Linked DNA regions of Saccharomyces cerevisiae S288C. The gene in region 2 interacts genetically with the main gene of each other region. Each region holds a gene or a part of one and is shown on either strand. Other genes may lie near its edges. The genes, in order: SRP40, OSH3, MYO3 and GPI13.

Region 1 (7,092 bases), on a different chromosome or scaffold from region 2:
CCTAATGACTTTTTGAAGCGCCTAGCCCTATTTCTTTCGAAATTTTCAATTCGCGTCCTTTTTCAATTCCATGAATAATAGGAAACATGAAAAAATAAGTAAATAATAATAATAGAAAAGCTGGAGTGTTGCAAATTTAAGAGGTAGCCTTAAAATATATTTCTGCTGTGTTGAATATTTAATTTATACAGCTAGAATAGGATATTATAGCCGAATTTTTTTCAAGCTTCTTCAAAGCTTATAGTGAATAACGTAAGGGGAAAAACAAGAATAAATTTAGCAAAAGAAACGCTCAAGTCAATGTATAACTCAATCTACGGGTCCCCCTTCCCTAAAATAAATCCGAAGGTCCGCTACAAAACTGCTCTAGAAAGAGCAGGGTTTGACACTAAGCCGCGTAATCCGTTCAGTAGTCAGAGGAATGCTTCCACTGGAAGTTTACAAGCTTCCGTGAAGTCGCCGCCAATAACCCGTCAAAGAAATGTATCTGCCGCCCCATCTGTTCCGGTCACGATGAAGAGTGCGTATACGGCGTCTTCAAAGAGTGCTTATTCATCTGTAAAGGGCGAGTCTGACATTTATCCGCCTCCCGTATTGGAGAATAGCGAGAGGCGGAGTGTAACTCCTCCAAAGAATAGCAATTTTACGTCTTCGAGACCCAGTGACATATCTCGTTCTATTTCCAGGCCCAGCGAGCGTGCTTCGCAAGAGGATCCCTTCCGTTTTGAACGCGACTTAGACCGTCAGGCGGAACAATATGCTGCCTCTAGGCATACATGTAAATCACCTGCTAACAAGGAATTCCAAGCCGCAGATAACTTCCCCTTCAACTTCGAACAAGAAGATGCTGGTAATACTGAAAGGGAACAAGATTTGAGCCCTATTGAAAGAAGTTTCATGATGCTGACTCAAAATGACACTGCAAGCGTTGTAAATTCTATGAACCAAACCGATAACAGAGGTGTGCTCGACCAAAAACTCGGAAAAGAACAGCAAAAAGAGGAAAGTTCAATCGAATATGAAAGTGAAGGACAGCAGGAGGATGAGAATGATATTGAAAGCCTAAATTTTGAACCAGATCCTAAACTACAGATGAATCTTGAAAATGAACCACTTCAAGATGATTTTCCAGAAGCAAAACAAGAGGAAAAGAATACAGAACCTAAAATTCCGGAAATTAATGTTACGAGGGAAAGTAATACACCATCTTTAACCATGAACGCACTAGACTCTAAAATATATCCTGATGATAACTTTTCTGGCCTGGAATCTTCAAAGGAACAGAAATCACCTGGTGTGTCATCATCGTCAACAAAAGTTGAAGATTTAAGTCTTGATGGGTTAAATGAGAAACGTCTTTCAATAACTTCTTCAGAAAACGTGGAAACACCATACACTGCTACGAACCTCCAAGTCGAACAATTGATTGCTCAATTAGACGATGTTTCCCTATCTAGAAATGCAAAGCTCGATATGAACGGCAATTGCCTCAACGCAGTGGACAGAAAGGCTTCTAGATTCAAAAAGTCAAGCGCATATTTATCTGGGTATCCCAGCATGGATATACCCGTAACGCAGCAAACATCAATTGTGCAAAACAGCAATACGAACTTATCCAGACAAACTATTCTGGTAGATAAAGGCGATGTCGATGAAGACGCGCCATCTGAATCTACAACTAATGGTGGCACACCCATTTTTTACAAGTTTAAACAGTCGAACGTAGAATACTCCAATAATGAAGGGATGGGTTCGCAAGAAACTTTCAGAACGAAACTTCCCACAATTGAAGCACTACAACTGCAGCATAAGCGCAACATAACAGATCTGAGAGAAGAAATTGATAATTCCAAATCTAATGACTCTCATGTATTACCTAACGGCGGCACTACGAGATACAGCTCTGATGCAGATTATAAAGAAACGGAGCCCATTGAGTTTAAATATCCGCCTGGGGAGGGACCTTGCAGAGCATGCGGCTTGGAAGTCACAGGGAAAAGAATGTTTTCCAAAAAGGAAAACGAACTGTCGGGTCAATGGCATCGTGAATGTTTTAAATGCATTGAATGTGGTATCAAATTCAATAAACATGTTCCCTGTTATATTCTAGGCGATGAACCATATTGTCAAAAGCACTATCACGAGGAGAATCACAGTATTTGTAAGGTTTGTTCAAATTTCATAGAGGGTGAATGTCTGGAAAATGATAAGGTGGAACGATTCCACGTGGATTGTCTAAACTGTTTCTTATGCAAGACTGCCATTACTAATGATTATTATATATTCAATGGGGAAATTCCATTGTGCGGTAATCACGACATGGAAGCTCTCTTGAAGGAAGGTATCGACAATGCTACATCAAGCAATGATAAGAACAATACTCTCTCTAAAAGGAGAACGAGGCTCATCAACTTCAACTAGCATCACTACCCATTTGTCTTTCCTAGCACACATGTTTCATAACATTCTTAATAAGATTTTGATTTTTTATATTATTAGCCAGCCTTGTTCATTTATAAATTGTATAGCGCAGGAAAAAGGCATCTGCCTATCTATGGTATCAACAACATTAGTCGTCATTAGTTAGTTAGTTATAAAGACATCATTCACTCATATTCACTACGTTGTCTTCTTCTCAACAACTACCTCTAACTGTTTTTTTACGCGTCATTTAATTGTAGCGAATTTCTATTTTTGGACATTCTCGTACCGGTGCATTAAAGGCTAAAAGCTAAAAAGGGAACAGGAGCCTAAGAATAGAGAATAAGGAAATTTATTTAAGGAAAGGCTAAGCAATGAAATGTTTCGTTATTTTATTGTATTTTCAAGAGGATGGAAGAAGAACCTGAGCACAAACGGATAAATAATAGACGAATATAATGTTTCTTAAGACACCTAATTGGGAAACGGTAAATGAGACTCCCAAATCGAGAGTCTTAACGATAAACGAATTGATCTCTCCCAACCTGGATACTGAATCTAACAGCCTTCTGGCGACGCCGGCAAGGAAATATTTCAAAACTTCAATAAGTGAAGCGCAAGATTCTCCTACATCTGCCCCTTCGCCCGATGGCAATGAGGATCCCACATATCAATACAACGTACAATTTCATTTTCCAGGACCAATAACACCTACAACACCCAGGTCTAAGAATGCAGAAATGTTTCCATCCCCCACGCCCCCATTGGTTTCTCCCACAGCGGTTATCGAGGAAGAGAATGACGATTCCGTACGGGAGTTTTCACGCACGCTAAAATCAAGACTCAACTGCGCAATGGTTAAGCTATCAAAGGAACATGAGCAAGTAGCTTTGATTCCTCCACCTCCGACGGAAAAGATACGAAAGGGCTCTTATAGTAATAAATTTGCCGCTAAGCATAGGCGCTGTCACTCGTTAGATGAATCCAAAAAGTTTCTGAGTTCTCTGGAAGATTCATCCGCTCATGCAGCGTTCTTGAAGGCAATTTCGTCCAAACATGCCAAAAGCAATAGGGTAGACAACGTTAACGTTTCGCCGTTACGTTGGTCATCTCATAGAAGAACGCAAAGTACACAGGAGAATTCTTTACAAGAAGTTGTTGCTATCGATACATTATTGAAGATGTCCTCATCGGACTGAACTAATGATTCGGGTTTCGCATATATACATGGCTTTGGCTACTTTTAGGTTTATAGTTCTTGCTGTTTATATCACTAATATTTAGTATATAGCTGCGAAGAAAGAAAAAGAAAATATTCACCTCTAGGAGCCAAAAACATAAAAAAAAAAATAATTAAAAAAAACTTTTATTGAATGCTTAATTATTTAGTGACGCGATTACCTATATACCAGGTTATTTATTTTTTCTTTTTTCAAAGGAAAACAATACAAAATATTACTGTTACCATTTTTGTTACTATTATTATTGTCTTTATTACTATTATTTTTCTATCGTTGCTATAATTACAATTTGTTTACTCTACAACTTAAAAGGAGATTACTCCAGACAACGAGTTTTGTTTTATGTTTCCTATTCTTTTAATCTTGGAATTTGTATGAACCACTTTCTAATGTAATGGATCCACCTCTGTAAGAACCTCTCTTCATTTTATTTTTGTTCTTCGTGAAATCTTTACCTCTTACTCTACCTAATTTTTCATTTGCCTTTTCACCCCATGTTCCAGCCGCGCCTTTGTAGGTGTTGTCTGTCAACTCCCAAGCTTCGAAATTAATCTTCGATCTATCTACTCTGGAAAAATGCTTTCTTTGGCCCTCTTTGATCTCGTCGGTTCCAGCAGGAATGTTCAATTTATTGGCGCTTGATGAACTGGAAGCAGATGGAGTTGATTCGTTAGATGAGGCAGGCGTTTCTTCGGCCTTGGATTCGTCTGCAGTTGCTTCTTTTGTTTCCAATTCAGAGCTAGAACCAGAGTCTGAGTCGGAATCCGAATCGGAGGAATCAGAAGATGTAGATTCGTCGGAACTTGAATCAGACGAGCTTGAAGAATCGGACGAGCCTGAAGAGTCTGAGTCCGAGCTTGAGTCGGAATCCGAATCTGAATCCGAGGAAGAGCTGCTAGAGCTGGAGCTAGAGTCGGAGTCAGATGAAGAGTCGCTGGAGCTGGAGTCGGAGTCAGACGAAGAGTCGCTAGAGCTGGAGCTAGAACTTGATTGAGAATCTGATTCAGAATCTGATTCGGAATCAGAAGAACTACTTGAGCTAGAACTTGAGTCAGAATCAGATTCCGAACCTGATTCTGATTCTGAAGATGACGATGACCCGCTAGAGCTTGACTCCGATGAGGAAGAGCTTTCTGGTTCAGTTTTAGCCTTTTTAGTCTCCTTAGCATCTTCGTTGTCTGATTCTCTTGCTCTTTTCTTGGTTTCATCTTCTGATTCGGATTCCGAAGAAGATTCGTCAGAACTAGAGCTAGAGGAAGAAGAAGATCCACTGGAGCTAGAGTCGGATTCACTAGAAGATTCAGAGTCACTGGAACTTGAGCTTGAGCTAGAAGAAGAAGATGATGATGAGCTAGATTCAGAGTCACTGCTGTCACTGCTGTCACTGCTGCTGCTGCTGCTGCTGCTGCTGCTGCTGCTTGAAGATTCGCCGCTAGAACTGGACGAGGAAGATGAAGAAGAAGAGGAGGAGGAGGAGGAGGAGGAGGAGGAAGAAGAAGAAGAAGATTTCTCTTCAATCTCCTTCTCCTTAACACTTAATTTTGGCACTTCGTCAACTTTAATTTTCTTGGAAGCCATTGCTATGTATTCTTAGTGTACTGCGACTTGGGTTTCTTTCTTGCTTTGTATAAAAGTGCGATGAGTTCAATCATCAAGTGAATTTTTTTTTTTCAGCCTGCATTGAAAAAAAAAAAATTGTATGCTCGAGCGATGGGAAGGTTTTTTCCTCTTCCCGTTCAAAGCTTCCTCGGACCAACTCCACTTTTTCTCGGCCCGTTGTAAAGAAATGGGTAAGAGAACTAAATTGCAATAAGCTTCGAATTATCGTTTTGATCCAGACATAAAGAGATGTACAAACTACAAAACAAGAGTAAAATAACTCGAACGAAGGGTACACCTTCTGTAATAAAACAAATTCACTATAACTGCCTTATTGGAGTGAAAAAACAAGATTATGTAGACCCCCTCTCGCGATAAAGAACATTAATGACTGCAACACCCGCACACCACAAGGTGAAGGGCAAAGGTGAATTAACCAAAGTGAAGAGGACGACGTAGAATCAACCAGGTATCCTTGATAAGGGGAGGAGTAAGAAAAAAGTGTGTCGAACGTAAATTTATGTGTCTAATGAAAGTATCTTCACACTAAGATTATAATTCTCCTTGGCAAAACAAAATGACACCTTTGTCCTGTTTTCGTTATCTACTTTTTTTTGTGTCAGATGTCATTTTGGTCTCCTACGCATCCACTACATCCTTGTCACAATTTGTTATCAGTAACCAACTTAGATGACTTGCACCAGCGCCACATCTTCGAAAGCGTTGAAACAAACTACGTAAACAAACAAAAAGTCAACATCCTGTAGATGTGGCTGCAAAACCACAGAATCCTCGTGTGGGAGAAAATATTGATAGGACCAGAGCGAACTTTTTTGATACAGACGTAGGAGGTAGCCGTTACCGCATTAGTATACTATATGCGTACGGCCGCCAAGAGCCCAAGAAAGAGACACAAAACTACGTGGGATAAGCTTGGGGTAACGCAATCAGTATTGTTCATTTTTTTTCCCGGAAAAGCTAAGAGTTTTCTGGCGAGATAAGATAACGGCGCCGAAGGCAGCGGCGAACTGACTTACCTCCGTCGGCTCCGGCGTACGGCACCAAAAAATCCCGCAATAACTTGACACCAATGGGCTAACGGCGTCCGCAGAACCGTGACGCAATCTGCGGTTTGTGTCAAGACAGAGAAGTGGGCTGCTTCTCCCCTTTCAACACTCCCCTCCCATGGCTGAATACTCAGACGTTTTCTGTGGTGGAAATGGCATCAAAAGTGCCACTGGCTGGCGAATCCAGACTATTTTGTGTCAAAGAAACATGCGTACCTGCACAATAAAAAGAAAAGGCCCGCCCTACTGACATCCTGTTCAGGATCCTCGAAGAACAGGAAAAAGGACAACCGTCCTTTTCACTTCACGTTCGCAGGGCTTTCCTCGATATAATGGCGATTACACAAGCGGTGGCGTCTTGAAAAAAGTTGGGTTTCTTATCTGTACGGCGATCACTCCCCTCATATGATAGCTGTGTAGAGTGACTTGCTCTTTGATTGGCCTTACTTCTTGCATCTATCATCCTTTCTTTTACTCTCTCCAATCACCACAACTCATATCATTCTACATTTCATTTTATTGTTCTGTACAATTTTTAGGTTTGTAAAATATATAAGTGATGTACATATCTTCTATATCCTTTCCGTTTGTGTCTATTTTAGGGTTGGCTTATTACGCATTATTCCTACTTTATTTTTACTTGCTTACTTGAAAAAGAAGGTATACCACAGTGCTGCTCCACTGCAAACAATATAAAATATTATCAATTATTTTTTTTTTTCTTCTTTTGAATTAGATCACTAATAAACTCTTATAATGCTCAA
Region 2 (8,566 bases):
TAGACGCGCCTGGATGTTTTGTAAAGCCAAGTTCTCGATTTGAGATCCCCCAAATATTTTGTATATTGGTTTTTTGCCAGTGGCTACTTCGAATAAGGACACCACACTGGATACCAATGAGTCCATCTTTAAATCCACGTGGTAAGATCCAATTGCATTGGAAAGGTCCTTTGCTCTGTTTCTTGTCTCCTTGGATGAATTTTCCGTACCCATGAAACAGGAGTGAAATATTTTTGAGGCTAGATCCTGTGGACTGTCTGGAATCCAATCATCGCCGCTACGTGTTATCTTACGAACGTCTTTGATAACTTGCTCATTTCCATTTTGAGCAGCGTCGGTCACTAAACGGCACATAGAGTGGACAATCATTGCAGTTGCACAAGAGTCAATGCCCCCAGATAAGGGAAGGAAAAACCCTGTTCCGTTACAACGTCTTAAATAATCCCACATCCAGCAAGCAGGTCCCAGTGCAATTTCTTCCTCAGGAGAGTGATAGAAAGGCTCGCGGACTTTTGTTGGACACACTGTAGGATCAAATCTGGAGGTCATTAAAGCCAATTCTACAGGAATATCAATACGCTTGAACTTTATTTCTGCCAAGGAGGCTTGTAGGCCACGAGACATGACAGCTGCACGATAACTCCTCACCTCTTCTAGGTCCACAGTAGCAGTAACTACTTCCACATCATCTAGCGAAAATTGTGAACCTTGGGCTACAATTGTACCATTGATGGCAATTAGTGCACAGCCATCATAATATAATCTGTCACCATCACAACCTCTTTGATTTGCATACAAGTAAACACCACCACAACGTTTAGTGGCATTTAAAATTAGGTCTAACCTTTTATTTAACTTACGCAGTTCATGATGAGAACCAGATGAGTTTGTCATGATTTCCACACCATCTAAAGACATGGCGATGTGGGGGGATTGAGGTGTAAACAATTCTTCACAAGTTTCTGTACCAATGCATGTATCCAATGAATTTATCACAGCGTCCCCAAATGGCACAAGTCTCTGGCCGGTAACTTTCTGAATCTCAGGTGGAAGGATAAAGTCCTCCACCACGCCAGGTTTCATCCAAGGTGTGAAAAATCTCATTTCCCTATAGTTACCATCATTAGCTAACCAAATCTTAGGTCTTATGAACAATATCTCACCATCCAAGGATAACAAACGACAATTATAACGAACATTCTTGTGTAGAACGGGCATACCAATGTCAAGTATTAATCCATGGGTTTCTTTATTCTTAATGATTTGAGCATACATTTCCCATGAATGAAGGCAAACGTCATTTTCTAAAAAATGATCTAAACATCCGTAGCCAGTTATTTCCAGTTCTGGGCCGACACGTAACCTGGCACCCCTCTCTTTGGCAATCTTAATGGACTGTAGGATACGGTCTCTATTACCTTCAAAATCTAGGGCCCATTGATTCAAGTTGCATGTAGCTAAAGTGATAAGATGTGACATTACTGGCAGGGAGTCAAAAAAAGAATGCCAGGGTATTTGGGGGTATTTTTACAAGCAATATCAATTGATGATGTGAGCATATAGTCTATTTTGAGGTAACCAGTTGATAATCTTATATTTCCCTTCCATATTCCTCTTTATCTTTTTCGACGAAACTATTGGGGCCTCTTGATATGACTTAGCAGGACATATAAAGGATAAGATGTTCCAAGCTATGTTATCTTTGACAAGTTTTGATAGCAATAGACTTTCAATTCCAAATTTAGGCACCTTTTGTAAGATCCTGTGTTCGTAAACTTTTCTTCAAAAAACATGGATCTAACTGACTGAAAGAGTTCATTATCTTTCAATTATGTGATGAAATTCTATTGTTTTTTTCAAGTTTTGCAACTAATCATAAAATAGAATGTTTTTACAGTCAAGCAAACAAAAATAGTGTAGAACTGTTAATATAAAATTAGTGTGAAAGATTGATCAAGAATTTATAAAGTCCTTCATGTTGTATATAGTATACTATACATGAACGCATATACAAGTAATTTGTGTGGATGATCATTAAAGATGGAAAATAAATAGAGTACAAAGGGGGGAAAAAAGTTCACTTGATGTCATCAAGGCATTCACCAGAGTTGAGAAATATCAGACCAATCATGCTTCTTTCTTCTTTCCCAATAACTCTTCGGTCCAGTTATGTATTTCCATTCATTCTTAGATACTTTTTCGAAATATTTAGGCTCCACATCTTGCCCTTTATTACGTCTTTCACGTTGAAGTTGTTCCAATTTCAGCTTCCACTCTTCCGCCTTATCAACATTTCCCTCCTCGTAAGCTCTAATATCTGGTCTTAATCTTGAGTCCGTAGGTGGTAAATTGCCCTTTTCAATTTCAGTTATCTCATTCAAATTTGCGGTGAATTTAGTAAAGCCATATTTCTTCTTCGGATTGCTAACTAAATCACCTACTTCCCATATAGTTTCATGTGTAGTTTCATTAGCTAAACTCTGTGTCCATTTACCAGCTAGAGTTTCCTTCTTGCGATTGCTCGAAGGTGGTGGGATTATCGAAACCTTAAATCCTTCAGATCTTCCACTAAACATACCTGCCTTATCGAACAGGATGTGTGATTTGTCTCCCTTCGAAGAATGTACTTCGAATTCGTTGACAGGCTCCATATATCTCTCACCCGCTATCAAATTTTTTAAAATAGTTGTTGGTTGCGTCCATTCAAATAGTTCTCCAGTTGTCTTAAACTTCAATCTCAGTATACCTTCGTTATTCAATTCAATAGACTTACCCCAAAACTTTTGCGATGGCGTTACAGTGTAACTACACTCCCAGTCGAGATGCTCTGCAAAGAAGGCAAATACTGGAGGACGATGTGAGACCTTTTCCGATATAAGCCTAAACCCCATATCTTCTCGTATAAGTTCAAATGTTTCAGCCAGTAAAGGATTAAAAGGCTTTCTTAGCGTTCTTGTTTTATCCCTATATATGGAAAGAAAGGAAATAGCAAATGCAGAAACAAAGGTTATAGGATCAGGACGTTGGGTAGCCTTCGTTAAAAGTGGAGCATACTCAAATGTTTCTGATATCAACTGCAAAATAGAAATAGGCTCATTTGAGGTTACTGGCATGGCAATAGAGCTCAGATCTTTGCCTACATTCTTTCTCAAAAAAGATAATAGGCTTGGCGGAGAAGCTGCAGCTTCAGGTATGTCATTACGGCGTGTAACACTCTTTGGATAGGAAAGAGCAAACAAATCCTTACTTGTAAATGTTTCTGTTGAGGATTGGGCGCTTTTGGTTTTTTGATGATGAGGGTGGCCACGGCGACGATTTTTGTGACGATTTTTGAGGTGTTTACGGCTATGATTTTCATCGTTAGTTGTATAGCTCTCCACACTTGATGAAGCTATCTGTTCGGATCCCGACAATTGGACCTCTTTTGTGAACTCATTTTGGTCACTTTTACCAAGAAGGGGAGTTTCCTCGACTATATTATTAATATCATCTTCTGTGTCAGGTAATATAATGACTCCCCGACTGATTTCCTCTTCTGCATCAAAAAATTCATCATTCTCGCTAAGATATGAAGTTAAAGAAACTCTCGTGTCTTTTGCTTTCTTGCACAGGATCTGGTGGTCCTTGAATAAAACCTCTCCCTGTGTAACGAACCGGCTAACAAATACTTCAAGATCTGCCAATTGGTTATATAAAGCATGCTCAATATATGTTTTGTTGGAAGGAACCTCTTCAGAGGCTAAAGAATCAGATGACGTCATACCAGAAGAAGAATGATTGAATGAAGACACTCTATTATTGGTAAAGACGGAAGATGACGAATGTGTTCCATTTAGCCCCTCCGATCTTTGATGTAAAGTAGTTGGTTTATAAGATAACGAGTCTTTTTTACACTGCTCCAGTCGTTGTTGAATCAAACGTAGATTCATGGAGAAAGTAGCGTAAGATTCGCTGGGCAATGGGACATATATGTCATCCATGTCTTTCTGAGTATGCTGTCTATGTGATAGTGCACTTTTGGTCGTAGCCGTGGGCGTGAGGTGGTCGTGGTCTTGAGGTGAGCTTTTATTAATTACTTCCTTGTCATCGTCAAGAATGTCGGGATTTTCTTCCAAAGTGGACGTGTCCTTATCTTCGAACTGATCGTCAAAACAAGTTTGTAACGCATCGACCCACGACTGCCAATTTTCCTTAGTTGTAGCCTTCAAGACCCAAACTTCCATACCAGAATCAATTATGATTATTTTGTCCTTCTTATTGGCACTAACAGATGACAAGCTTATGACAATTTCACCCCTACAAGTTTGATTATGGTCGTTTAAATAGTACGATAGGGTTCCATATCGAAAGTCCAAGGTGAAAAACCTTTTCTTAAAACCTTGTAGTCTCTTTCTCCTTTTTTTCAGCAGGTAGCCTTGCAAGTAACGACCTTGTCCTACTCTAAATAACATATCCTGTTGAGTAGATGTTCTGCTTAAAGCTGTAGGCCTTGCGGGAGGGGTGGATCTTGTGCTTATCATCGATTGATTATCGCCGTTTATCACACTTGCGTTAAAAAGAATTTTCTTTTTTGCATTCTTGGAAGACGAGTTGTCCAGTATAAATGCATAATAGTAGTCTGTATCTTTCACTTCAAGATCACCTTGGACCATAGTGTTACCGGAAACGTTGCCGACCCTCTTGACCAAAGTGAATCCTGACGCAGAGAGTTTTTCACGTAGGGGTATTTCCTGGGATTGCTGCTGTATGCCGCTAATGGACAGTGAAGAATATGATCTCTCTTTCCTCTTATTATCCGATCCATTGCTCGAACTATGAGAGTGCTGTGAGGAACGCCTGTGATGCTCCTCAATATTACTCGAACTTCCCTTATGTAATAGAGATTTCGTAGTATAGTCTAGCAATGTTTTAGTGTCAGGTGCAATGTGAACTGCGGAAGCATGGTCATCTACACTGGATTTCAACTTTTTGTATATGCCGACTTCAATAGATTTCTTCAATGGCTTGATCTGATAATTGATTACATCGCCACGGCCACATTTTACCCAACGAACAACAAATGATCGATTTTGTATATCAATTGTTTCCATAATTCGATTCGCAGGCTGCTATTCAAGCTCGTTTTACTACTCTCCAGCAAATAGGACGTCGAAACTTTCACGAGTTATACTCTCCCCCCAACAGGTTCACTAAAAAACCATGTCGTTGCTGGTTGTATGGTGTCAAACTGCTTTTTCCAAAGATTTGGTTATTTTTTTCGCCCTACCCTAAGCAATATCCGTATTAAAAGCTATGAGGCTTTTTGGTTGAATCAACAGTTGGAAACGCTTGATACAACCAAAATAAATATGTCATTACAATTTTGTGCTCCCGGAAACAAGGTTTTCCAGCACAGTTATTAATGTAGCGGTAGCCTATCTGTAAGCCGACTCTTTGGAGCAGTAAAGTGGAGCAGTAGAGTGGAGCCTTTAGATCTAGAGATGCGGCTTAATATCGACATCAAGTACCTTTTTTGGTTGCTACAGTTAAAGACTTTTCTTGTACGTTTTAACAACGTGAAGCACAACTGTAACTAATATCAATCTATTTTTCCTTATTACAGCTAAAAAGAAACTGGCGAGTCTTAAAAGAACTGGTTCTGGATAAGAAAACGGCCACTGCTCCTTCGAGATTAAAACATATAATCGATCAATTATAATTAGTATTTATCACCTAAAAACTTATCAAATTTATGTAGGTCTAGAAAATTGAAAATGAAACAAGAAAATTCACTGCATTTTCATACTAGCCAGAATCACGTACTATACAATATTCCCTTAAACTACCCAAATCTATTGGCCTGGTACCAAACCAAATCTCTTCTTCAAAGTTACTCTTTGTCTTGAATATTTGTCGTCTGGAGAAAATCTAGCTGGGTGAGCAGACTTCGTGATTTCACCACTTTCGGTGACCTTTTTCAATGTATAGATTCTCTTGCCGTCTGGGCCCAAAGTGTACATCAAATGCATCTTGTTCAAAAGGATTTGTTATGTATTGGTCTATTGAAAGTATTTCTCTTTTCCGTCAACTCACTAACATAAGCCACTTTATAGCTACCATAATGTAATAAAAGAGTGATGAGCATAACTTGAAATTTTTTTCTCCTTCCGCTTAGTTGAAAAAAGACGAAAAAAATAGTGAAGCCGTGCTAAAGGATAAATGGTATATTTGAAAGAACTCTACACTTAGCGTGTAATCACCATAACCAATAGTTAGCTGGAATTTCAAACACATGTTAATTTTTCACCTATTATTTTACTACTACATATACAAATAAATATACTAGTTTTGCACTAGTTTCTAATTGTTGCAGCCTCTAACAACACTTATAAATAAAACTTAAAGCGTATGTGTTTCATATGCCCTGCTGTACATACCTAATGCCTTAATAGGGAATAAGAATCGATAACTTGGGTATTCAATTGCACAAGAGTGGTTGAAAACACCTTCTACACTTTCAAATTTCCATTCCCCGGATTCTTCTTGTCTATTTTTTAAAAGGTCAATACCGCGGTCGATGACTTCTTTATTAGGATATTCAGCGAAAAGAAGTGCAATTAGCGCCCATGCGGTTTGAACGACTAGCGATTTTTCACTATCCACATAACTATGTAATTCACTGGACTTCATTGATTCCCCCCAACCGCCATCCTTCATCTGTTTACTGACCAAGAAGTCGCAACCTTTTCTTACCGTTGAGGAATTCTCATAGGTCTCCCCCACGGTGTGTAATGCCTCCAATGCAAACATACCGGCATATGTAAAACAAATACCCCAGCTTCCATACCAACTTCCATCTGGTAATTGAGATTTTTTTATGAATTCGATGGCGATTCTGATGCGTGTACGTATTTCCTCTTTCCTATAGTCGAAGTACTTGTGAAAATATGTCAACCCCAGAACGGATGAATCAGTACATTCCACGTATGGGTATTCTACCATTATGTTACCAAAAACTTCAGCAGGATTCAAGGTTTCCATTGCTAGTGGGGCCTTGATTTTTTCATAGGTTGCAAAGGAACCATATTCAAAAGATCCGATGTTTTGTAGGTTCAATAACACATCAATGCCTTCAAATAAACGTTCACTGCTAATCATATGGTGTACTTCACTAAAGACGGGAGAGTTTTTCACCATGATGATGGCTTTAATTGCTTCTGCAGTGCAATCTGCCACTGTATAGCCCTGTGTTTTTGTTGAGAAGCCCCAAGCCCCCTTTCTCTTATCCCTATAACTACCTGGAACGCACTCGGTGTCAAATTGAGCATGACACAAGAATTTATAGGCAGAGACAATTGTGTTATAGAATTCAGGTCTTTCTGCGAGGCCTGCGACGAAAAAGTATTGAATGGCAAACGCACAATCCCAGGTTTGCACACCATTTGTTCCCATAATGGTCATACCCTGTGGACCATGGAACAATGCATCCTTGAACCTATATTGGAGACGCTGGAACGCTTCCGAGTCTACCCCTTCTTCAATAAGAGTGACAAGTGCGCAAAACGCCTGGTTAACAGGTGCTATACACAAGGAATCAGTATTCTGTAACTCCGTTTTGATTAGATCATAAACCTTCTTCTTGGATAGAGAGTAAATGAACCGGTTTCTTAGGTATTTTTCGTAAAATACTACAAGGCTGTTCGCAATATTCAAAGTAGTAGAATGGGGGTAATATAGGTCTACTCCACATACGGTATTCCTGTTCTTGGAGAAGTTAATCTTGTCAAACGGTTTAGTGTAAATTTCATTCCTCAGTTCTTCAAGAAGAGGAGTCATTGGGCAAGAAAATTTGACCAATGACAGGTAACTGACCGGAATGTAAACACCTCTAGTATGAACCCACCATCTCCCCGGATGCATGGGCAGTGAATATGGAAGTAACCAAGTTTCAGGAGGGGCAGGGTTCACACCTTCCCATTTATACAAGTTTAGTGCACTTAGCCAAATTTTTCCCCAGTGAGGGGATCCAATAGCACCGCCTAACCTTAACAATGTGCTTCTTGCCTTGGCGCAAACCGGGTGGTCCTTGGGTAGACCCAATAAACGTAAGATTACATAGTTCAATACTGTACCAAACACGGTGGATTTGTCAACAGAATGTAGACCCCAGCCACCATCAACCGGATGTGCTGTATTGACGATGTATCTAATTAATTCTATTCTCTCATGCTCAGGAATTTCAATACCGGCGATATAGTTTACGGCTACGTAACCGATTGTCATGAACATGGGTCCTTTATATTGACACGGAAAAATACCTGAGTCAGGCTCTTGAAGCAGTTTGAAAAAAGATGCACCATTATGACACGCATCGAAGGCTGAAAAATCTGGTGAATGCTTATTTCTTTCTGGATGAGGTTGAGGAAATTTGGGATCTTGAAGAAGCCACTGCGTGAAAGTGGATGGTGGGTCGTTTGCGGCTTGCTGAGGGGTTAAATATTCCCAGCTTTCTCGGCCTAGCTCATCAGTTCTCAGTCTCCAAAGACGTGGATCTGTCTTTGGTAGACCGATTGTGTCAGAATAAAAT
Region 3 (6,886 bases), on a different chromosome or scaffold from region 2:
GTGCAACGTTTGAATAAATATTTGTAATCCTAATTTCTTGCAGATTCGGATATGACCCAGCAGGCATGTGCGAGTCAAGTTAATTTTTCGGGTGCTAGCTAGTACTGGAAAAAGTAAAAAGTGTCATTTGCAAAAAAAAACCCTCGAGAGATTTGTATGTTATTTAACGATTTCTTTCCAAGACTCTGCTGCGTGAAATCACCAACAGTTATTCAACAATGTCACTCAGAGCAGTCCCAGGATATTTTGCTGCATATCCAAGTGAGGGTTTTCAAGGATTAGACTCCACGAAATATGATCACTTAGAATTGATTAACCATAAGAATTGGAAGGAACTGTATCATGCTATCCCTAGAAATACCAAAAATCGCCACTATAAGCTGTTGATTTTAGCTAGGCATGGTCAAGGTTACCACAATGCTGCCATACTGAGGTACGGTATGGAGAAATGGGACGCCTATTGGTCGTTGCTTTCGGGCGATGAACATGGAGAGTGGCTTGACTCTAAACTGACACCTCTGGGTAAAGATCAAGTTAGAAGAACAGGATCGAATGTCTTGCTACCAATGGCAAAGCAATTAGGTATGCTACCTCATGTGTTTTTCAGTTCTCCAATGAGAAGATGTCTCGAAACATTCATTGAGTCGTGGACACCAGTGTTAGCGGAGACGCAAGAATTACCGGCCGGAACTAAAATTTCTACACGCATTATAGAAGGTCTAAGGGAGACGTTGGGCTCTCACACTTGTGACAAAAGAGTGGCTCACTCAATGGCAGTTGACGAATACCAGGATTTCAGCACGGAATCGGGCCACACTGTACATTGGCAATATGTACCAGATTACCCAGAAGATGATGAATTGTGGCTTCCTGATCATAGAGAAACGTGTGCTGAAATGGACAAACGTACACTGAATGGATTATTTGAACTATTTAATCAATTGTCAAGCGAAGAAAAATTCATCTCGCTTACTTGTCACTCAGGTGTCATTCAAAGTGTCTTGAGAAACTTACAGCATCCTCCAATTTATAACCTGGACACAGGTAAAGTCGTCGCTGTCGTCGTGGAAGTACCAGTCAACACGGCCGATCGCGGCAGGCTCTGAATTTTCCCACAGCGCCCATTCGGGACTTTCAAATATGTGGGTAATTTAAATAATTTTTTATAGATATAATAGAGTGGATGGAATAAAACCCTTTCTTTTCAAATAATGTGTTAAGCACTTTGAGAAATGGTTGAACCTTTCACTTTGATCATCGCTTTCTCAAGCTAGGTGAGAACATACATTTGAGTATAAAATAAAAAATGCATATGTGAAATTATATGAATGCAAAGGGTTCTTAGTTCCTTTTTTATTCTTGTATAGTTTTCACCGCTATGTCCACTCCCTCTTTTATACTATACTAATCGATGCCACAGAAAATATAGGCTTGGAAGTAATAAGCCCCCTTCATATACTTTCGTACAAGAAAATGTAACCGGTACATTAAAACAAACTTCAGTAGCCTCCCCTAATCACTCGGCAGGCAGACCTACGATCTTGAACAACTATTATATAGTAGCAAGATGCTAGCTCCATCGCTTTTCTAACTAAAGGTAAACTGATCGATTTGCATTTATATAATAAACCTCGGGAAGAGCTTTACCGAAAAAGGAAACCGTTTGCTGTGACAAGTAAATATAGAGTAATCTATTATAAAGGGTTAAAGCAATCTCGATTCAATTGACCGCGAGCAAATTAACAACAATCCAGTTATAAAACATTAATTTGCTGATCACATTTGAATCAAAAAAAGTAAAGAGAAATACTTATAACCGTCAATGGCTGTCATAAAAAAGGGAGCACGCAGAAAGGACGTTAAGGAGCCCAAGAAGAGATCTGCAAAAATCAAAAAGGCTACATTTGATGCAAATAAAAAGAAAGAAGTAGGTATTTCTGATTTGACACTTTTGTCAAAAATATCTGATGAATCTATCAATGAAAATTTGAAAAAAAGATTTAAGAATGGAATTATTTATACCTATATTGGCCATGTGTTAATTAGTGTAAATCCGTTCCGCGATTTGGGAATATATACAAATGCCGTTTTAGAGTCATATAAAGGAAAAAATAGACTTGAAGTTCCACCACACGTGTTTGCTATTGCGGAATCTATGTACTACAATCTCAAATCATACAATGAAAATCAGTGTGTTATTATTTCTGGTGAGTCTGGTGCCGGTAAGACAGAAGCAGCCAAACGTATTATGCAATATATTGCAGCTGCATCTAATAGCCATTCAGAATCGATTGGGAAGATCAAAGATATGGTTCTTGCTACTAATCCACTTCTCGAGTCATTCGGTTGTGCTAAAACTCTGCGGAACAACAATTCTTCAAGGCACGGGAAGTATCTAGAAATTAAATTCAACTCACAATTTGAACCTTGCGCAGGTAATATCACAAATTATTTGCTAGAGAAACAAAGAGTTGTTGGTCAAATTAAGAACGAAAGAAACTTTCATATTTTTTACCAATTCACTAAGGGAGCATCTGATACATATAAACAGATGTTCGGTGTGCAAATGCCTGAGCAATATATTTACACTGCTGCGGCTGGCTGTACTACTGCAGATACAATTGATGACGTAAAAGATTACGAAGGCACGTTAGAGGCTATGAGAACCATTGGTTTAGTCCAGGAAGAACAAGACCAAATTTTTAGGATGCTGGCGGCAATTCTGTGGATTGGTAACATTTCCTTTATAGAAAATGAAGAGGGCAATGCTCAGGTAGGAGATACCTCAGTGACTGATTTTGTCGCTTATTTGTTGCAGGTTGATGCTTCGTTACTGGTAAAATGTTTAGTGGAAAGAATCATGCAAACCAGTCATGGAATGAAGAGAGGCTCAGTTTATCATGTACCTTTGAACCCAGTCCAAGCAACTGCGGTGAGAGACGCCCTTGCTAAGGCAATTTATAATAATTTATTCGACTGGATTGTCGATAGGGTTAACGTATCTTTGCAGGCATTTCCTGGTGCTGATAAATCAATTGGGATTCTAGACATTTACGGCTTCGAAATTTTTGAACACAACTCTTTTGAGCAAATATGTATCAATTATGTTAATGAAAAGTTACAACAGATTTTTATCCAATTGACTTTGAAGGCTGAGCAAGAAACTTATGAAAGAGAAAAAATCAAATGGACCCCCATCAAATACTTTGACAATAAAGTTGTCTGTGATTTAATCGAGGCGAAAAATCCACCGGGCATTCTTGCTGCAATGAATGACTCTATTGCAACTGCTCATGCAGACTCCAATGCCGCTGACCAGGCGTTTGCTCAACGACTTAACTTATTTAATTCAAATCCATACTTCGAATTAAGGGCCAACAAATTTGTTATTAAACATTACGCTGGAGATGTCACCTATGACATCAATGGTATCACCGATAAAAATAAAGACCAACTTCAAAAGGACCTAATTGAATTAATTGGAACAACGACAAATACATTCCTTTCCACAATTTTTCCTGATGATGTTGACAAAGATTCAAAGAGACGGCCTCCAACAGCAGGTGACAAAATTATTAAAAGTGCAAATGAACTGGTGGAAACTTTGTCAAAAGCTGAGCCTTCCTATATCAGAACAATCAAGCCTAATCAAACTAAATCACCAAATGATTATGATGATCACCAAGTGCTACATCAAGTAAAATATTTGGGTTTGCAAGAAAATGTTCGTATCAGGAGAGCCGGTTTCGCTTACAGACAAACTTTCGAAAAATTCGTCGAAAGATTTTATTTACTATCTCCAGATTGTTCATATGCTGGTGATTACACTTGGGATGGGGACACCCTTGAGGCAGTCAAGCTTATTTTAAGAGATGCCATGATACCAGAAAAAGAATTTCAACTTGGAGTGACAAGCGTATTCATTAAAACTCCAGAATCTCTATTTGCTCTAGAAGACATGCGTGATAAATACTGGTACAACATGGCTGCTAGAATCCAGAGAGCATGGAGAAGGTTTCTTCAAAGGCGTATTGATGCTGCGATAAAAATTCAGCGTACTATCAGAGAGAAAAAGGGTGGAAACAAGTACGTCAAGCTTCGTGATTATGGAACCAAACTTTTAGCGGGTAAAAAAGAGAGAAGATCCATGTCTTTACTTGGATACAGGGCTTTTATGGGTGATTACTTATCCTGCAATGAGTCTAAAACGAAAGGATCGTACATCAGAAGACAGGTAGGAATTAAGGATAAAGTTGTTTTTTCGATAAAGGGGGAATGCCTGCACTCTAAATTTGGCAGATCAGCTCAAAGATTGAAAAAAGTGTTTATCTTAACAAAAAAGACATTTTATATTATTGGACAAACACGGGAACAGAATGCTATGAAATATACACAAGATTATAAAATTGATGTCGGTAAAATTAAACAAGTGAGCTTAACAAACCTCCAAGACGATTGGATGGGCGTTATCCTTGTTAATAGTACACAATCCGATCCACTCATTAACACGCCTTTCAAGACGGAATTAATGACACGTTTGAAAAAATTAAATGAAAAGATAATGATAAAAGTTGGTCCCACGATTGAGTATCACAAACAACCAAACAAGTTGCACACTGTCCGCTCAAAGATAAGCGATTCAGCACCGAAATACGGTGACATCTACAAGTCAAGTACAATATACGTGCGTCGTGGACACCCTGCTAACTCCAAATCGAATAAAAAACCTAAGAATCCAGGTGGGTTGAGCGGGAAACCTATCAAAAGCAAAAAGAGTAAACACAAATCTACTCATAAGCATACACATAGCCATAGAAGTCATAGGGATGCTGCAAAAAAGCAACCTCTCCCTTCGCAAAAACCTGTGAATCCGTTATCTTTGGCAGCTACCGCTGCACAGGCAGCATACAATCCTAAACCGGATAAGACCGTACCAATAAAGTCATCTGCAATCCCTGCTGCAAAAGTAAGCTCGAAACACAGCTCAAAACCCTCATCGAAGGAAAAAGTCGCAGTAAAGAAAGCCTCCTCAAGCCACAAATCCTCATCCGCCAAGCAAAACCAGGTATCGATGCCACCTTCAAAAGGGGTTGAAAAAAATAAAGAACCGTTAAAGGAGACAACTGCAACTGCAACTGCAAACATACCAATACCACCACCCCCTCCCCCCATGGGCCAACCAAAGGATCCGAAATTCGAAGCTGCATACGACTTTCCAGGTTCCGGATCATCTTCGGAGTTGCCATTAAAAAAGGGCGATATTGTATTTATAAGCAGAGATGAACCTAGTGGTTGGTCTTTAGCAAAGCTTCTCGATGGAAGCAAAGAAGGTTGGGTTCCTACTGCTTATATGACTCCTTATAAAGACACAAGAAATACGGTGCCTGTTGCAGCGACAGGGGCAGTGAATGACGTTACAAATCAGAAATCAAGCCAAATCGACAATACCATTTCAAGTGCACAAGAAGGTGTACAGTTTGGAAGTGCAACAGTTGGACCCACTAGTGATAATCAGAGTAATCCGGTGGGGACGTTTAGCGACGGTTTAGCTTCTGCATTGGCAGCAAGAGCAAACAAAATGCGGGCGGAAAGTGCTGACGATGATGATAATGACGATGGCGATGATGATGATGACTGGTAATTAACATGAATATATAGATGTTTAGTCTCTTATAGAATGGTTCTTCGTGCATGCCTCTTAACATACCAAAAGTGCATTACATATACTTTTAAACATACTCTCGCAGAAAGTTAAAGTCCCTTTTTTTTTTTTTTTTTCATTTTTTGTTTGTATTTTCCCGTTTTGAAAAACTCCCACTTTAATGCAGGACATCGTTCAAAACAAGCTTTAAAGATTTGACAGTAAAATCCTCACTTTACTCAAGACATTTTTCTCAAAAAAAGAGAAAGCACAGTAAACCCTCCTTAATTTTCCTTTTGCATAATACCAGACACTTAAAAATGAGCAAAGACAAAGATATCAAAGTCACTCCTGGAACTTGTGAATTAGTTGAACAAATACTCGCCTTACTCTCCCGGTATCTCTCATCTTATATTCACGTGCTGAACAAGTTCATCAGTCATTTGCGAAGGGTAGCTACGCTACGATTCGAGAGAACTACTTTGATTAAATTTGTTAAGAAATTGAGATTTTACAACGATTGTGTGTTAAGCTATAATGCATCAGAGTTTATCAATGAAGGTAAAAACGAATTAGACCCAGAGGCGGATTCGTTTGACAAGGTAATTTTACCAATAGCTTCAATGTTTGTTAAATGTGTTGAAACGTTTGACTTACTGAACTATTATCTAACGCAGTCATTACAAAAGGAAATTTTATCTAAAACTTTGAACGAGGACCTAACGCTAACAGCAGAGTCCATATTAGCCATTGACGATACCTACAATCATTTCGTGAAATTTTCTCAATGGATGATTGAGTCTTTGCGTATAGGCAGCAACCTGCTAGATTTAGAAGTTGTTCAATTTGCCATTAAATGCGCAGATGAGGACGGAACGAATATCGGAGAAACTGATAATATCTTCTTGCAGGAGATTCTTCCTGTCAACTCCGAAGAAGAATTTCAGACCTTGTCAGCTGCGTGGCACTCCATTTTAGATGGTAAGCTGAGCGCCTTGGACGAAGAATTTGATGTTGTCGCTACTAAATGGCATGACAAATTTGGTAAATTGAAAAACTGAGGCCTTCAGTTTTTAGCTCAAAAAGAGCAAATAAGTACCACTAGTTAATAGAACATATATATATACATGAATAGCCTCATCACATAGCACAGAAAGTAAGCTTTCAAAACACTGATGATCGGCTCTTATTCTGGCGTACTCATTTTCAGCATCTCAAACCGCGCTGTTTTTTTCTCACTTTTTG
Region 4 (8,586 bases), on a different chromosome or scaffold from region 2:
CTTTTGTTAGAGTATTCTCATTAGTATCCTTTTCAAAAGTAAAAGTGATAAGGTCCTTCTCAAAAGTTACAATTATGTTCATAATTTGCAAAAATGGAACAACAATTAGGTTATAAAATTCGTATTCTTTATTGGGATCTATCTCTTGATCTATTTTGAACTCGTATTCATAACCAAACGCACTATTAACCAATTCGTTAGCGGCTCTTGATGCATTCTCATCATTTCCTTGTATACTCAATTGAGATGTTCCATCCAAGGGCTCTTTTAACGGTATCATTATGTAAACATTTTCGTTCTTTTCGATTTGTCCTATAATATTCTTTTGGCCGTTAACATGCAAAATATGTCTATATTGCCCACTAGAAAATCTAATGAGCGTCTTCGATTGTAAACTATCATATTCTTGAACAATTTGTTTTAAATCATTCTTGGCTAGGCATATATTAGCTTTGTTTTTCCTGGGGCACCTAATTATCACATTATCATACCTGATCATAGAAATTTTATTTTGTGGAAGATTGAAACTATTGGAAAACTGAATGAAGACGTTATGCTTTCTCATTGTGGCTTGAATTAAGGAACCACCTGTACCTATAATCGGTCTGTGACAAACTTCAGGAATGAAGAAAGATTCTTCGGCAGGAAATTCATTTATAACATTCTTAAATGATTCCTTGAAATCAGGGAAAGAGTCACTAACCAAATTTAAATAAAGGTTATCATCTTCCTCTTCCATTTCCAGTTGAATTAAGCAAGCAGATAGTTCCATTATACGTGTTAATTTACCATTTTTCTTGCCTGATATGAAGTCTTCAAAATCAGGATGTATCTCGAAAATGGCTTTTATCTGTCTTAAGTTTGGATTAATCACTTGATTTGAGCCCATAATAAAATCAGATAAGTAATGCAATATGGAAGTATCGGACGCCTCATCTGTGGAAGATTGGTTACCAACTACTATTAATTGGTTGAAGGAATCCTCTTTGGGAGTTATTACTACAATTTGGTTTCCAGTGTGTCCGAAAAAGCTGTCGATTATTAATTCCGGGGACATTGCGCAGTTTTCATTGAGTGAAATCTGTACTTCTACAATTTCATGTAATACTTGAATAGTGAAGTTCTTAATAACCATTTCTAATAAGTTCGTGGAAATCGATTGAAATTCAATGTATTCGTTAGTAACTCTAATAAGCGATTGGTATTTCAAAATTAACTGGTTTACCTTTTGTTGGTAGTATTTTCGGATAAACAGTAGTTTTCCTGGGGTAATATTAGTCAATCGACGATAAAAAAAACTCTTTGAATTCACGCTTATGGACTCACGTAGAGTTTTCCTAGCCAGTAAACTTAGTGAATGGACAGCGCCTGAGAAGAAGATTTGTGGATTTGCCTTAAGATCCCTAGACAGCGTAATGAGGGAAGGTGCGTAAATGCTGGTTTTAAAAGCTCTGGATATATGTTTGAAGTTTTCCATATCTACACCCATATATAAGGGAAGCACAGAGTATGAGTTCAGTTCCATAGGTTCGATAATGTAGTGTTGTGGAGGCAAAGTCATACCATTCTTCTTTATTAAATCGACAAATGCCAATAACTGGGGTTCGCATTCCATTAAATTAGATCGGAATCCTAATGCATGCACGTAAATACATAATTCCTTGCTCTCGCCTGTCTGTTCTGGTGTGAAGTAAGCTGGTTCTTTGGTGATGATTAGTTCTAAATTGAATTTTTCACTCAAGTCCAATAGTATACGTTTCATTTTTTCCAATTCTGCTGTTAGATCATTTGTGTTCATAGGTAAGGGCAAAGAAATCCTGCAAATAGCATCGAGGTCCATATCATCTGTGGTAGCTTTTATTGAGATCATGTCATCTCTAATGAAAGAAGCATTTAGATTGACCCATGAGGGATCTATATGACAGATTGCTTTTGTGTTTTTAAGTTCTTTGGAGCTTATTCTTTTTTGAAGAAATTCAACTAAAAAAGGTGCTTCTATGGGCTTCCATAATCTATTTGTCGTGTATAAGTGTGGAACTTGTAAAAAAGCAGTTGTGATAACTGTACTGTAAATTTTGAAGTTATCCATGCCTCAACCGTGTGTTTACTGCTGTTTTTCTTTTTAAACAATTGTGTAGACTTAACCTCTGCGGGCTTGAATAGTGCTTCAAAAGGTTCAGGTAGTCAAGAGGTTAGCTATATAAACAAAGATGACTTTTCATCCTTTATTTCTTTTATTTTGTTTTTGTTTTTTGCCTTTGTGGAAAAAAAACAATCTACAAGCGAAAAGAAAAATTTTGGAGAAAAATATAATTTAGGATTACAAGAAAGTGATAGAAAAATGTACAATCTTAAAAGAATAAAGCTGCAGAAAAGAGATGCTTTTGCTTTCAAATTTTTGCAATATCAAGAGATATGATTTACTTGTATCTAAATTACATGTAGATATATATATATAGTATATTTGTAAGTAAAGAGTGGAAATGAAGTTCGTCATTTCCAAAAAATGTCATTTATGTGCTTAATCAATCTCCCACTAGCAAATGCAATTGTACCAAAAGTAACGACCAGTTGAGTGACTATTAAACTTAAAGAAGCAAAGATAAACCTTGGGCAGAAGATTTTCCAAACCATCAAGTGTCTACGGAAGTGAGTAACCCAAATAAAGGAGCTTAGACATAAAATAGTATTGTAAGTGAGTAATATACCGCAGTTTGACACAATTCTTCCTAAAAGTGTTTGTGGCTTCAACACATCAGGAGGCTGTGACCACAGTGTCAGTAACGCTACAGATAAGGAGACGAGAATATGAGGCCCAAATGTATTTAGGATGATGGCTATCTGAGTGAAGGGGAACGTTACCTTTTCAGACAGCATAAATCCGATATCCCATTGCACTGATGGAATTGTGGCTTGATGACCGGTGGTGAAAAAATGTTGGTAAGATAAGAGTCCCAACGCAATTGGACCAATTATGTTTTCCTTTAATTTTAAAAGATCGATAATTTCTAAAATTGATAGTAGTTGGTTGCACATGAGGAAGTATGACAACTGGGCCAGGGGTTTGTTGAATAGTAGGATACTAATGAGAACGTTTATGACCAAAAGAAAAAACTCTGAGCCGTAAATATTAGTATAACCTAAAATTGTTGCTTCGTGAGACTTAACATCAGTATTATGAATGTTTAATTTAATACAAAGTGGTCCCATTAGCCAGCCGACATTAGAAGCAATCAATGAAAAACCGGCAATAATTCTAGCCAACGTAAATTTAAAAATAGTGACGTCCCGTAAGAACGGTATTGCTATTACCGCACTGTTATTTTCTAATGAAGTCAATGACCAATAAACAAAGTTCAAACCAAGGATACCCTTTAGGAAAACGTTTATCCAAATTGGAGCTGCAGCTTGATAAGACGATGTTAGATTATAATAACCGGTGATGCATGCAGGTAATATGAATATCATTAGGAAACAGAGACCCAAAACCCACCACGAGGAATTGTTTTGATTATTAAATGTTGGAATACAATATTCGCCTTGTTCCTCTCTACAAATGGTAATCATAGAAGCTAACCGGGTAAAAATGATTAAAACTGCAGAATGGTAACCTCCTAGTAATCTTGCAAATCTTGTTAATGGTAAGTAATTTGAATTTGCTGTCGAAGGATTGACCCCTGAAGTGGTTCCTTCCTTTTCACTGATTGTTGCAGTTAATAATGCAGTGGTGGATTGCCTTTTTGGTAAGAAGACAAATTCATACAACGTCAACATGCCGAAAGTAGATAAAAGGAATGCTACAATTCTATCCTCCCAAATAGTAAATGAATTGGAAGTGAAAAGCAAAGCATGAATAATCATAAACATGACAGCAATTCTTGACCAATAATCAGCTAATGTTTCACCCAGTCTCATAGCAATCCAAATAAAGTTGTACCTATCAAATATTGTGATATAACAACCAATAATGATACCAATTGCAGTCGCTAACAGGGTACCCCAGAATTGGTCTACAAAACTTGGTTGTTGATAAACGTAAAAAATTCCATGGAAACATAGGTTTGTAACTAAGACCATTATGATAATTCCCGGAACGAATTCTGGAACCATTTGATTCACAACAATAGAAGGAATTAATTTTGTAATGGATATCAACAGGACCAGTGAAGTGGCCAGTAGCGTTATACCGGTGGCAATGGAATAATAATCGAATTTGGCCCATAGTTCTTCGCAGGTCTGCAAGAAGACCTTTTGGTATTTATGACCCAGCTTAACAAATTTTTCTGGATCGCTTGTTGGGGGGGTGTTAGATATATTTTTCGCTAACGGTTCCAATATTTCGTCATTGCCATGGTGGATCTGCATCGTGTCCTTATATAATTGTAATTGGCTTATCGCTGAGTTGACAAATTGAGACCATTCTCTATCGTTTCTTGCTATTTCGTCAATAGGCCATCCAAGATTGTTAAATGGTATCGGTTGGCCCATCAATAACGCCAAACTAGACACCAAATCAATTTGTCTCACTGAACGGTAATCGTGTCCCAAATTATCAATGTTGTAATTCGAAGTTTCTTTAAGTCTCCACATGTCCGGCTTCTTAGAATAAAGAAATAAAGTGCTTTCGAGCTCGTCGATGGAGTCGCCACCGTGATTGCCCGTATGGTCCATTCCATGGTCACCCAAAATAACCAATAAGGTATCATCATCGATCGATTTTAGTATCCAATCGATAAATTGATCTACTTGAATTTGTTTTTCCCTCATAGTAAAATGGTCGGGGCCATATTTGTGGCCCACATGGTCAATACCTAGCATGTGTCCAATCATGACGTCCCATTCCTTGTCCTGCTGTAAATGATCATGGAAGTAATCCATAACACCGTTATCGACAGTATCTAAGTCCCACACATTGAGTGATTCTAGTGGGAAACTATCGTTGGAAAGGAACGGATGGAACAGAGCCATCCATGTATCATCTCCGGCAAATTTGACAGTCTTATTTGCCAAATGGAGCTGTTTAAGAAAGTTATCCTCTTCGATTACTGTTCCATCGAAGTTAGACCCGGCATCAATGAAAGTCGGTAAGGACCCTGTTGTGAGACCCTTGAGTCTTTGTAAAGTAGTGGTTGGTGGGTCGGCAATGAACTTCAACAATAGGGAAGATGCATCCTTATCGCTTGCAAAAGAATCATACAATGATAATATATTATTATGATAGTTCAAGTTGTAATTAGAGTGGGATTCGTTTACAGGAATAGCGAAATCAAATCTCAAAGCGTCAATAACCAAAATCACCGCCTTGTTGAACCTAGGAGGTAACTTACTCGTTTCGTTTTGTGAGGAAATATTATCAAGAACGTGTCTTGACAGTAAGAATCCCCGAGTGAAAAAAGCTATTGATATGAATTGTAAAATGGCGATGAAAACCAATAGAATAATATAAAATTTATGATTCTTTTGAAATTTCTTTATTCGCGATTTGTATATTATTTTTTCATCATTGGAAGATGAAAGAATCGACTTTTTAATTGTCTTTTCATCCATATTACGGGAGCTTTTTTTTTCCACTTAATGTATTGATCTTCCTCCCGTTCTTTGACGATTCGGCGTTGCCCTTAAAACATATGCTTCTATTCCTTTTTTGATCTTACCCATTTATTTGTTTTTTTTTATTTTCCGGTGGACAACAAAATGTTAAAGGAAAAAAGAAAGTACCTTGCTCGTCATCGCGCTTGCATAATGTGCGCCATTACCCTGTAACAAAAACAAAAGATAGAGTGGCAACAACTTGACACAACTTTGCAATTGTACCATGAACCCCAACAAGAAAGGCGGTTGAGAGTAAATGATGTGGTTTGGTTCCTTTTTTTTCCTACATTTAAGGTTCATAGAGAAGAAAATTTTCTGAAATGTCTTTTCCTCTTTTAATGAATTGTAAAAAAGCCAGTATTGGAATAATATTCTATTCAATATAGTAAGAAAAGAGGCAATGGGCAGAAATCTTCTCCCGCATAATCCTTTAAATGCAAAATACATGTTAGGCGTCTAAATTTTTTTCAGTGAATCCAGATGCAGAAACATTTAAACAATAAATATCTTAAACCCATTTTGAAGCATCGGCGGCTAAAAAAATGATTTTGCATGGAAAAAAATGAGAGCTGTGAACCCAATAAAAAAGACAGCTTTTTAAAAATGTATAACGGTACATTAAGCTCTTGTTTATTCCTCAAACTGCTCCTAAAAACCATCCTCTCAAAAATAATAATGATAGCTGAAGATTATCTGCCACGAAATGCCATTGAGCCGCTTACTTGTAGGTTTTCATGAGTAATAACGAAGATAATTTACCCGTCTTTATAACCCACGTAAAAATAAACATATAATTATTTCTTATTATTTCAACTAACCGTTAAAGTGTTCAAATATGGTAGAAAGCTTTCCCTATGTGCATTATGATTATCTTTTAGCCGCCAGAGTTTAGTTTAATTTTGTTTTGTTTTTGACGACTTCTGGTGTTACCCGAAGGTATATCCCCGGGTGACCCCTAAAAATCGCACCCCATTTTCCCGAATTTTCTTCTACGTTTTCTTTTTTCAGAAATACTTCGAATGAGGGATGGAACAAGAAGGAAGCGACATACAAAAACTGAGTCAGTTTAGTCTTAATAGGTGCAATATTTACAAATACAGGAAAGGCAGGAAGCACTGGCAAAAAGACTGCATAGCTAAAAAAAAAAAGAATAAAAAAAAAACGGAGACCTCAACAGAGCGAAACCAATAATTACAAACAAAATCTTCATATGACTTCGAAACCATCCACCAGTGACGGCAGGGCTCACTCGATTTCCCATGTACCTGGCACGCACATGAGAGGAACATCGGCATCACACAGCCCCAGACCGTTTAGGCCATGTGCGGATTGTACGTGTTCTCCAGGCTTACTGTCTAGGCAAGGTCGTAGAGCCTCTCTATTTTTAAGACAGTTAGAAAATTCAAGGAGGTCCTCCAGCATGCTTCTCAACGAGTTGAAGGGCGCTGGCGGAGGTAGCAGTGCTGGAAATGGGTCTGTTTACTCATGTGACTCTCTATGCGCTGTTAACAGGGAAGTTAACACTACTGATAGATTGTTGAAGTTGCGTCAGGAGATGAAGAAACACGATTTGTGTTGTTATATTGTGCCCAGTTGTGACGAACATCAGTCCGAATATGTATCATTGCGAGATCAAAGGCGCGCCTTCATTTCAGGGTTTTCCGGATCGGCCGGTGTAGCCTGTATCACCAGAGACTTGTTAAATTTCAACGATGACCATCCGGATGGGAAATCCATTTTGAGTACTGATGGAAGATATTTCAATCAAGCTAGACAAGAACTAGATTATAATTGGACACTTTTGAGGCAAAACGAAGACCCAATCACTTGGCAAGAATGGTGTGTCAGAGAAGCTTTGGAAATGGCCAAGGGACTTGGCAATAAAGAGGGAATGGTGTTGAAGATAGGTATTGACCCAAAACTTATCACTTTCAACGACTATGTTTCTTTTAGAAAAATGATTGACACTAAATATGACGCAAAGGGTAAAGTGGAGCTGGTTCCCGTGGAGGAAAACTTAGTTGACAGTATTTGGCCTGATTTTGAAACTCTACCTGAAAGGCCTTGTAACGATTTACTACTGTTAAAATACGAGTTTCATGGTGAAGAATTCAAAGACAAGAAGGAAAAGTTACTGAAAAAGCTGAATGATAAGGCTTCCTCTGCGACGACCGGTAGGAATACTTTCATAGTAGTTGCGTTGGATGAAATTTGTTGGTTGTTGAACTTGCGTGGATCCGACATTGACTATAATCCAGTTTTTTTCTCCTACGTGGCTATTAACGAAGACGAAACCATTCTTTTCACCAATAACCCCTTCAATGATGACATATCGGAATATTTTAAGATAAACGGTATTGAAGTCAGACCTTACGAACAGATATGGGAACATTTAACAAAGATAACTTCGCAGGCTTCTTCTGCGGAGCATGAATTTTTGATTCCTGATAGTGCATCGTGGCAGATGGTTCGTTGTTTGAACACCTCAACCAACGCTAACGGTGCAATAGCTAAAAAAATGACTGCACAAAACTTTGCGATAATTCACTCACCCATCGATGTTTTGAAATCTATCAAGAATGACATCGAAATAAAAAACGCACACAAGGCGCAGGTCAAAGACGCAGTATGTTTAGTGCAGTATTTTGCATGGCTGGAGCAGCAATTAGTGGGGCGCGAGGCACTGATAGATGAATATCGTGCCGCAGAAAAATTGACCGAGATTAGGAAAACCCAAAGGAACTTCATGGGCAATTCCTTCGAAACAATATCCTCCACAGGTAGTAACGCCGCCATCATACATTATTCGCCGCCCGTAGAGAACTCTTCGATGATTGATCCTACCAAGATATATCTTTGCGACTCCGGTTCGCAATTCTTGGAGGGTACAACTGATATAACAAGAACAATTCACTTAACAAAGCCAACCAAAGAAGAAATGGATAATTACACACTGGTACTTAAAGGTGGCTTAGCCCTAGAGAGGTTGATTTT

Evidence for each region.
Region 1: mutations in OSH3 (region 2) and SRP40 together harm fitness more than expected from each alone (negative genetic interaction), as found in Saccharomyces cerevisiae (2 studies listed by BioGRID).
Region 3: of OSH3 (region 2) and MYO3, changing one suppresses a phenotype caused by changing the other (phenotypic suppression), as found in Saccharomyces cerevisiae (one study listed by BioGRID).
Region 4: of OSH3 (region 2) and GPI13, a mutation in one rescues a mutant of the other (synthetic rescue), as found in Saccharomyces cerevisiae (2 studies listed by BioGRID, with this or other methods).

The regions. Positions count from the first base shown.
Region 1 is NC_001143.9:608,646-615,737, forward strand, and holds SRP40 (Srp40p), read right to left. Parts: upstream 5,241-7,092; coding exon 4,020-5,240; downstream 1-4,019. Other genes in the region: PXL1 (Pxl1p), read left to right, coding at 301-2,421; DNA-binding protein SRL3, read left to right, coding at 2,880-3,620; PTR2 (Ptr2p), read left to right, coding at 7,085-7,092. UniProt on the Saccharomyces cerevisiae protein: Not known; weak suppressor of a mutant of the subunit AC40 of DNA dependent RNA polymerase I and III.
Region 2 is NC_001140.6:239,106-247,671, reverse strand, and holds OSH3 (oxysterol-binding protein related protein OSH3), read right to left. Parts: upstream 5,091-8,566; coding exon 2,100-5,090; downstream 1-2,099. Other genes in the region: QNS1 (glutamine-dependent NAD(+) synthetase), read right to left, coding at 1-1,479; snoRNP complex protein NOP10, read right to left, coding at 5,832-6,008; lanosterol synthase ERG7, read right to left, coding at 6,379-8,566. UniProt on the Saccharomyces cerevisiae protein: Lipid transport protein (LTP) involved in non-vesicular transfer of lipids between membranes.
Region 3 is NC_001143.9:195,104-201,989, reverse strand, and holds MYO3 (myosin 3), read left to right. Parts: upstream 1-1,822; coding exon 1,823-5,641; downstream 5,642-6,886. Other genes in the region: PMU1 (putative phosphomutase), read left to right, coding at 219-1,106; SHE2 (She2p), read left to right, coding at 5,962-6,702. UniProt on the Saccharomyces cerevisiae protein: One of two redundant type-I myosins implicated in the organization of the actin cytoskeleton. Required for proper actin cytoskeleton polarization and for the internalization step in endocytosis.
Region 4 is NC_001144.5:74,659-83,244, forward strand, and holds GPI13 (mannose-ethanolamine phosphotransferase GPI13), read right to left. Parts: upstream 5,548-8,586; coding exon 2,494-5,547; downstream 1-2,493. Other genes in the region: YLL032C (uncharacterized protein), read right to left, coding at 1-2,089; RRT7 (Rrt7p), read right to left, coding at 5,698-6,039; FRA1 (aminopeptidase P), read left to right, coding at 6,803-8,586. UniProt on the Saccharomyces cerevisiae protein: Involved in glycosylphosphatidylinositol-anchor biosynthesis. Transfers ethanolamine phosphate to the GPI third mannose which links the GPI-anchor to the C-terminus of the proteins by an amide bond. Involved in cell wall biosynthesis.